Linked DNA regions of Drosophila melanogaster. The protein of the gene in region 1 purifies or fractionates together with the protein of each later gene. This does not show direct contact. Each region holds a gene or a part of one and is shown on either strand. Other genes may lie near its edges.

Region 1 (5,610 bases):
ACCAAGCAGACACCGCTAGTTGATTAAAGGCTACCATCTTTGGAAGGTCTAACCAAATGGCAAGCCCCTCAAATCTATTTCATTCTCCCAGCTGGCAAATGGCAACTGGTAAATTCTTCTATCTAAGCCGCATAATGGTCATAATGAATAAGACACCTCGGACAGCAGATAGGGAACGGGCGAGCTGACTTGGCCACTTGGCTGCAATTTGTTTGCTATCAGCCAGGAGAAAAACGGCGAACGACTTATGGGGGAAAAGAAGAAAAAGGAAAACGCGCAGCAGAAATAAAATTATTTAATTGCGCAATTAAGTGCACATTTGTAGCGTTTTGCGCGACATCTGTCCCATGTGCAGGAGTGGATGCAGACCCACAGCCACAGCGCGGAGTCGAAGTCGGGACCGGAAATTCAATTGTTGAGATAATAATTACATTAGGACGTGCGCGCATGCGCGACTCTTTCACTTTAAGCCTCCGTCTCTTTCGCGCTGTGGAGCGATCTGAGCCTGCTTAGAGTGGACCCGAATTGAGTCCGAACGGGGAAGAATGTCCACACGGATGTATTGAGACAGAGGAATACCTAGTACTAGATCCATTTCACCGCTAAATTACGAAATTTCCCTATTCGAATAAACCATCAAATATCCTCTTATAAGCATATATGCTGCGGACTGAATCTGTACATATAAAGACCTGACAATTCTCTAATTTGGATTCCGATTAAAATAAATTAAATGAAGTTCAATTGTGAGGATACCATCTTATTCAAGGGTAAATACATCAAGCCCTTGCTCTTCCCGAACACTGGGTATAATAAGTGCACACCTTGCGCGACGGGCTGATTGACACGGCCACATGGGGACGAGAGATACCGTGCTCGGTACCAGATATTCCCGATCCCGGTCCGAGTTTGCTGTCCATTGAACTCGTCGGACAAATGGTCACTCCTCGTCCGTCGACGGTCGATGGTCGCTGGTCTTTTGTTTGCATTTCGCCCGTAAATGAAGCGTGAAATTGGCAGCAGTGCAGCGGACTCGATCCAACTCCGACTCCAATCCCTATTCCGATCTGCAATGGAACTCGGAGAGCGTCGCATTGTTTACTTCTTGTTAAGGCCCGACAATGGGATAATATGGCCATATAATGGCAACACCAAACTATTTGTATGCAATTGCCATTAACACTTTATTTATTGCCTTGCGATACAAGCAAATTGGGCAGCGAATGATGGTCGAAGGAGGGGGACGCTTCCAGTGCAAAATGCCGCTGGAATGGATCTGTGGATGTATAAGGCCCGCTTATATAAAGCCTAATGAAGTGGTTATCAAGGAATGGAATCTGTTAGGTCTGCTCGGAAATGGCAAGAGCTGGGCTGAGTTCAGTTTTTCATCATGGACGGAAAACATTTTTCCTTGGATTACATTAAATTACGAAGATGGATGTGATAAAAATGATGTGATGTACAAGCCTATGGCTTGTATTTCACGTTGTATCAATCTAAATCAATATTCACTTATTTAAAAACTATCAACGGCTTTTCCAAACATCCTTCATTCAAATTTAACTTGAGTCATCTACATAGCTGGCTCATTGACCTTTTTCTCAAGTTATTGCCCTTCCCCGCATGACACCCCCACTCCGATGGGTAAGCAAAACAGTCTACAGTCCGACAATCATCCAATAAAGCCAACAAAGTCATTAACGAGGCCCTTAACACTACCAAAACGGTCTATATGGCCGGTTCCAAGTCCCCACCCCAATACACGCAACTCTTTTTCCCATATGTCTTGGCTAAATTATTTAATTTATGAGCCGCAACAACTGGCAAATGCATCTATGGCAACCAGAGGAAAACGCGTTGAGCTGGGGGGCAAATAAATTTCCATTTTGCTAATCAAATTTATTGCACTTTGTGCGGGGCTTATTCAATTACGCCCAATCGAAGAGGCGCGAGAGAGAGGGCCATGCGGAGCGACAGAGAGCGGTAGAGAGCAGCTCCGCCATTATTTCGCTCCGTCGAATGCTGCTTTCCCATAGGCCGAACCGCCAGAAAGAGGCGGAGTCCGCCTCCCGGCCACCTGCCGCCTCACCTGCGACACCTGCGACGATCGATCGACATGCTCCGATCGCATCGCTCCCTCTCGCTCTGCGGCACTACGAAACACTAAAAACACTGGGAGGCCAGAAAACCACTCTCGCAACATTGGAAAACAACAACTCCAACCGGTTGTTGTTTCAGACCCACCAGAGTTTTCACCTGCGCGCCAACTGCTCACCGTGTAGTTTGCTGCCGGCTCTGGAACAGCCCGGTCATCTCGTCGCGTTCGGTTCCGATTCCGATTCGAATAGTCGAGCTGGGGATACATTGTTGTTTCCGGGTTAAAGTGCGTACGATTGCGGAAGTGTCGGTATCCTGCGCGTAGTACAAAGTTATACCCATCAAAGGTGTATCGCGATCAAAGTGAACGCTTGGTACTCGGTATCTGGTTGTTGGAAGAAGTGGACAAAAGACCGTCGGCAAAAGTTACTGTTGGTGAGAGCTACAGGGCTTATTAGCCCGGTTAAATAGGAAGAGAGAGATTCAGAAGGCCAAACATTATCAAGACCATCCGTACAATATCTGGCGATTAAGGAGGAGAAGGAAGGTTAGTCTCAGACATTTTATCAAAAATATATGAAACATTCTTTGGACAGAATAGGATTTGTTATATCGAGAGCGTGCATTAAACAGGGAATCCTAGTTACTGTAACTCATAATTTTTTATCACAACCGTAGTCATTGCCTTATATCATATCAAAGATAGGGATTTTCTTAATCAAGCAATTTATATAAATTTTGTTTTAGCCCTAAACTAATCTTGACCCTTTTCCGCCACTTCCGATCCCCAAATCACATAAACTTATTATCACACCTTGCGAATAACCTACTTCTCAGCATGATAGACAAATACTACAAGTATAAGCCATAAATGAATTTCATAATTCACCTGTCTAATCATCCCAATCAATGTGAAGAGGGAAAAATAAAACGTATGACGAGACATAAATATCATTAAATTTGATTAATTTCCCACCTGGACATATCAAATCAGACAAATATCAAGCCAAATCGTATCATCGCTGTAGAATAGAATTTTATTAACTCAATTTTGAGGGTCGAAAGATTTCGCCTTTGCCTTAGCTGATAGTTCGATAAGTTTATCGCTGATTGGTTTTAATTAAACACCATTAAAGAGTACAAATTGTCAGCAGTGCAGTCAGCGCCAATAAATCACGTTTTGTCTAGCTGATGTTTTTCCCTTCTAGAGGTGGTTTTGGTCGAAAGTTGGGGGCATAGTCTTATGCTTGTCCCGTGTACCTACAGAATAAATGAAATTAACCAGCCACACCTATCACCCGCCGATAATCTTGTCAAAAGCCACTGACCACTTAGCTTCGTGACGCGGACGAGGGCCCCGAATATATAGTGAAAATAACACAAATATAGACAGATATGTGGGTCCTGATAAGGCAAAGGAAAACCGGGACCCTCTTTCCTGGTGATAATCGGGCACTTGGCCAACTGATTTAATTAATACTTATAACTCATGTGACTTGTCAGCACAAGTTTAAACGAATTTGTGACGCAAGTTGGTCGCAGTGTATTTGTATCTATGAGGTAGCATCATTCCCAATAGATAATACCGAAAAGATTCGATAAGATTGTCCCGTACAGCGTAAAATTAAAATATGTTCTCCACCGAAATGTAGTTCAATTCAATTACGGCAACATACAATTAAAACTTGTTGCCAGATACCTTAGATACTGTATCTTGTAGATATACACCCGAATTTTTGGCAGCTATCTGAACACGAACTCTGATTTGATTTGATTCGCTGTTGTTCGATTGCTCGACAGCTCCCAATTTGGGGCGCTGTCTTTTGAAGGGATGTCGGTTGATTGTTGATCGTTGATGGCAACACACCCCCCGAGAGAAATCTTCTCCAGCGGGAAGATGGCGCCAGGGCCCTTTGAGATGTGCTTCATTAATTCTTGTCCCCTGCCCCTCGCTAAATGGAACATGCAAACATGAGAAATTAACGTCGTCGTCCACAAATTGCCCACCGTCTGCCTCGGATTCGCTTATCAAACCACACAAGACAATGACAAAGGGCAGGGCGGAACAGTCGAAGATGGAGATGGCGTCGGGCAACAGTTGTCCAATCCCCAGATCCCCGATCCCCGAACACCGATCACCGATCCCCGATCCCCTCCGGTCCCAATTTATAGCTCCTCACTGCGACTGCTGTTCTTAACATGCTTTTTATGAGTAATTGGCCCCGCATCAACATCACCAACACGGGCTAAGCTTGTAGCTACAGCATCGCCATTCACCATCAACAACTTCTTGGTCTTCTGTGTGGGTCTTGAGTTGCTGATCCTGGCTCTGAGTCACAATTTGAACTTGCGTCTACCTTTGGACTACCGTCCCGGCACTCTGATCCATTAGGGTGGACACGGGGTAATTTTTGCTACCTGGGAGCGAATCTCGAATGCCCTTGGAGAGCTCGAAATCCATGTGTCAATACATTTTTACCCAAAAGTTCAAGTACATACAATTTTTATTGTATTTAGCTAATAGATAGTCTCAAATGGGAACGTGTTCTGCCTGTAGACCTAAAACTTTAATGTATACCTTAAATTGTAGACATATTAGGGATTATATAGGATAAGTAGATCAACAACTTAGTTGACCAACTTCATTCACCAGGCGTAGGGGAAGGGTACTAGACCCTTCGTTGCAACTTCGTCTGATAGGCAGTAAATTGAATTAAGATTGTGGAAAAGAACAACAAATGAGGCAGCAACTTCGACACAGGATATGAATAAACTAATTATAATTGGGAGTGTGTGCATTAGAGGTCCATAACGTACACCCCAGAACAAGAGGTACAGAAACAGACGATGATGACGGCGCCTGGCCAACAACAAGAATGCTGCCTTATCGCACCTGGTCCAAAAGACGGCGCCAAGAAACAAACAACCCAACAACTGGAAGGTGAATGGAGGGCTCAGGTGCAGCTTAAATGAGATAAACACTACGGAATTGACTCGACTCGGCCCAGCTCAGCTGCTTGTGATATTAGTTAAAAACATTTCTGGGTGACTTACAAGAGCTGGTCGAAAATAATAATTGGTCTTATCGAACCAAAAGTAAACGACCAAGCTTGGAACGTCGCTGGCCAATCCGTCAACTTCTCCAGGGGACCACCAAGGGACTGGTATCGGGGGCGATCATTGAGCTTTCGCTCGGGGCCAAAAGTTAAGCCACCCAAAATGCTTGCCATTATCGAAGAACCGGAGGCGAAATTACAATGCCGATCATCAAAGTGTGACTAAAGTGGTTTAGCCTAATGTAAACCCATAAATAAGCAGCCCAGATACCGGCCAGACTGGGGACTGGCTGGAAACTGGAGTCTGATCAATAAAGTCTGGAGAGTGGAGGATCGAGACGGAGGCGCATTAACGAAATGCCAGAAAAGAGCTTCTGTTTGCTGTTCTACCTGATGCCGTCCCTCTGGCCCGGCTTTTAATGAAATATGCCAGCCCAACAGTCCCCAGACACCGAGA
Region 2 (4,023 bases), 7.5 Mb from region 1:
CAGCTTTACATACAATTGGGAAACCAGTTAATTAATTTGGTTCGATTCTTGGCATCAAGATGGAATTCAAGACAGCCGCCAAAAAAAGTTTTCTTTATATAACAATTCATTAATTACCTTTCGATTTCTGGTTTTTACCTTGGGCGGAGTCATGAACCCGACACCTAATGCCATTAGCCCAGCCGTTGCGGATCTGGGATTACAATATTCGAGTGTTTGGATCGTTCAAGGAAATAGTTTTATTGCCAGCATAGCTGATGCAACTACAAGTTGTTTCCCCAATTCTAGTATCTATCGTATTTTGCCTTTGTGGGCACCCCAGGAGCTTGGCCGTTTGTTGAGTGGTTCAGGTTCTGATTATTGCTGTGATTTGCTCCACTATTACTACTTCCTGCCGGCGAGGAAAGGGTATAGACCTCATAGTCGGTGATGGTAAAGTTATAGTCCCCGAAAAGTGTCAGGTGAGCAGCGTTGGTTCCGTCGTAGGAATGCGGAAGATTCGAGTATGAGTCCATGTTTGTATTACAGTTGCTGGAAATGAGCAGATCGGCTCCAGCACCAAAAATGGGACCGCAACTAAAGGGGAAAGCAGACATGGTAATCAGTACGAATTCCTAAACATAATGTAATATATAAGATTATTTTAGACATCACTTACTCAGGATGATAGCAAATGGCATATGGTTTCTTTACAATATCAAACTTGACCGGCTGTTCCCCATTGGCTGGATTCAAGGCAAAGAGGAAGGCTCGCTCGGACTGAACATATCCCCCCTTTCGGCTTGTTTTGGCCCACGCCACATCCGTATAACCACCACTGATCTCTCCATGCGATCCCAAGCCAATAACCATGCAAGGAGCCACGCCGTCGCAATAACGATGAAAGGCTCCAGAATCGTAGCCATGAGTGGACGCTCGGAAAACTAATCTCCAGGATTGCTTGCCCACTCCAACCCAATTATTGAGAACAGTCTGTAGTGCCAGATTGTCATTCTTCAGGATTTGGGATCCGGGAAACATGTTGACCGCTACAGCTAGGCGGGGCTGAAGTCTCTTATCGTTATCCATCATCTTATTGGCATGCAAAGCGGCATAGCGATATCGTTCTAGGGATAGTTCCATAGGTACAGCTCCTGTAGGTTCCACTTCCTCCGCGAAAACTTGGCTATCGATGAGAAGCAGACGCACGTGACCCATTACACCGCTTAAGTGTTGGCAGACACGAGCACGCTCCTCCTCAGTCCAATGTGCAGTGGGTTGGGTGACTCCTGCCTGGTATTTGGCCCAGGATAAAACGCAGCGCCACACTTCCTCCTCTTCCAAGCAGAACTATTGGTAGTTAACAGTTTTGGTAATTAAAGAAATTCAGTAAATTGAGTGGTTATTCATTATAAACTCTTACATAGTCTGAGGAAATAATCTTAATAATGGCATCCTTTGTTAAAGTAAGGAAGGCATTAGTCTTAACGCACTCATTTGCATTTTCCCCTATGTAGATGATGCAGCGTTCCATAAACGAGGCAGCGCATTTGGCACCTGAAATTTAAAGGGAAAGTTTAAAATTAATTCCTTGTTTTTTAAAGACACTCAACGGCTTTTACCTTGAGACAGCATCCTATTCTATATGTCCTGAAATCGGATCGTATTTGCTACCTTACCCATTAGAAACACTTGATTACAGAAAGTCTACCATTTATTTCAACATTCGTCTTCAGATATCGGCTTTACATTTATTTTACTTATATTAAGGGCGTTCAGCGTTTGCAGGTGGAATTCGAAGGATTCGCAGGATGGCCGCTGAGTCGCCTAGTCCTTCGTGGGACTGACGTTCTGTATGAGCGTGATGTTGTCGCCCTTGAGCATGATCCTCCCGAGGTTGCGGCGCTGCCGGGTCTTCACATAGACTTCCTCGGCGTCGTCCAGCACCAGATTCATGTACTCATCGAATCCCACAATGTGGCCCTCGATGCGCAGCGATATGTTCTCGTATAACCAAACTTGCACGCGGGACCGGTTCTGCAGGTAACGGAAGATCAGGTTGATGGGCTGCACCATCACCTTCTGCACCTTGGGATTTCCTTTGAACGACATTTTTGCTGATTTCCGACGACTTAATTTGAGTTAAACAAATTTTCGCTTCTTTTTGCCGGCGTCTTCTTTTCGTCCAGGCGATAGGCAGAAATATCGATGGCACAGCACAGATGGTCACACATAATCGCGGCCTACCGAACTATCGACCAGCCTAAAGATACCAAAATGGTAAATCCTCTGGTAGCATAACCATATCGATAGAAACACTATCACAATCGCACTGTTAAGTTTTTGTGGTTGGGCAGAAGTTGTTGCCATTTATTCATAGCTGAATTAAACTATAGTTTATAAAGAAAACCAAACAAATGGCTATGGCTAATGTGGACAAAGGTGAACTTATGGACCAGGTTAAGCAACAGATTGCTGTTGCGAATGCCCAGGAATTGCTCACGCAAATGACCGAAAAGTGCTTCAAAAAATGTGTCAATAAGCCGGGAACTTCCCTCGATTCGTCCGAACAGGCAAGCTATACATATCTTATTTTGCACTATAGAATATGTATTTAAATAGTATTTCATTAATATCCAATTTAGAAATGCATTTCCATGTGCATGGACCGGTTTATGGACTCGTGGAACCTCATTTCTCGGGTGTACGGCCAAAGAATACAACGTGAACAATCCAAGTTCTAAACACACGAATCGGCTTCTGCATTTTGGAGCAGCTTGGGACTAACTATATCTGCCAGCTATTGATTAGTTGTTATATCTAAAGTTTGATAATGCAATAAAAACATGCATTGCGTGTTACGTGATTCTGATAACACAACGTGCATATGTTTTTTCTTATCGATATGTGATGTGGTACAAAAAATACCAAAACTTTCAGAATGGTTAGTCTCAATACATTTGACATAGCATATTATGTAGAATGTATAAAGTGTTTTGGCGCGAATATGCAACTTCACATAATTGCTTACTTTTAAAGGTGTGATTTTCTAAAAGAGCTACTCAATATTACTAACCTGCTTTTTCGTGTATATCCATAACGGCGGTTAAAAATGTGCAGGCATTATCCACCGACAATGTCGATATAACGTGATCCTCGCAGGCAGTTCGTAGCTCAACCACACCGATATCCTGTGCCAATATCATCATTTGAAATACTTGCGAGTCCTGGAGAACCAACTGAAAAATGAATTTTGGTTATAATTTTATTATGTTAGATGTTACTAATAAGTAGTTTTCTTACCTTTGCGGTGTAAACGTACAAGATGAACTGCCTGAATAGTTCCGGATTCACGTGTGGTAATCGTATGGTGGTCGGAGTTGAAGCTCCTGGGGCTGCTGGCGATACTGTGCATCCGGGAATTCGACACACTTCACCTCTCTTCGCAGTCTTGAAGCTCTTGCACCTGAAATCGAATTGAGTGAATGGAAAGGCAAGACAAATTAATTAAGTGACCAACTGGAATACCCGGGATTCCAGCACGCAACATTGTAAGATTCCGAAAAAGGCAACCGTAGGCAATTATCTTATTCCACAGAGAAAAATTATACAGTTATTGGCATTTATAAGATTTTAAGGTATCACCAAAATTTATTAATCTCTTAAGTATTTGTTTGAAAAAACAATTTAACTTACCGAGCCATTAGCATTAATCTATGGGCATATATGCGCTCATCTCTGCCACAAATGAATACCACATCTGCACTATCCTGATCCTCGGAAAGGCGCTGCAGATCCTCGATCAACTGGGGCAGACTCATGATTGATTTTTATTATTAAGTGCGGTATTCTTGGGCTCAAAAAATTGCAATCATTCGTGCAGAAGTGCACGTGTTGCCTTGTCCCTCTGCAAGCACTGGGTTTTGTTATTATTTTGCGATTGGGTTTGTTTATGTTTTCAACTTGGAAACTCTCTTTATTTCTCTCTTTTAATCGCTGGATTCGTGGGAGCGCAGAAACCGGTTCCTGGCTGAAAATTCTTGG

The links. Proteins that work in one complex are often made in the same cells at the same time.
Region 2: the proteins of al (region 1) and CG34132 purify together in Drosophila melanogaster (affinity purification with mass spectrometry, with the first as the bait; 2 studies listed by BioGRID). This does not show direct contact.

Annotation. Positions count from the first base shown.
Region 1 is NT_033779.5:375,838-381,447, forward strand, and holds the start of al (aristaless), read left to right. Parts: upstream 1-2,274; 5' UTR 2,275-2,644; intron 2,645-5,610. UniProt on the Drosophila melanogaster protein: Involved in the morphogenesis of proximal and distal pattern elements in a subset of appendages. Also has a role in early imaginal disk development.
Region 2 is NT_033779.5:7,883,253-7,887,275, forward strand, and holds CG34132 (uncharacterized protein), read left to right. Parts: upstream 1-2,250; 5' UTR 2,251-2,396; coding exon 2,397-2,552; intron 2,553-2,624; coding exon 2,625-2,723; 3' UTR 2,724-2,857; downstream 2,858-4,023. Other genes in the region: CG7102 (uncharacterized protein), read right to left, coding at 285-576, 659-1,329, 1,403-1,536, 3,056-3,218, 3,283-3,445, 3,676-3,800; small ribonucleoprotein particle protein SmE, read right to left, coding at 1,807-2,091.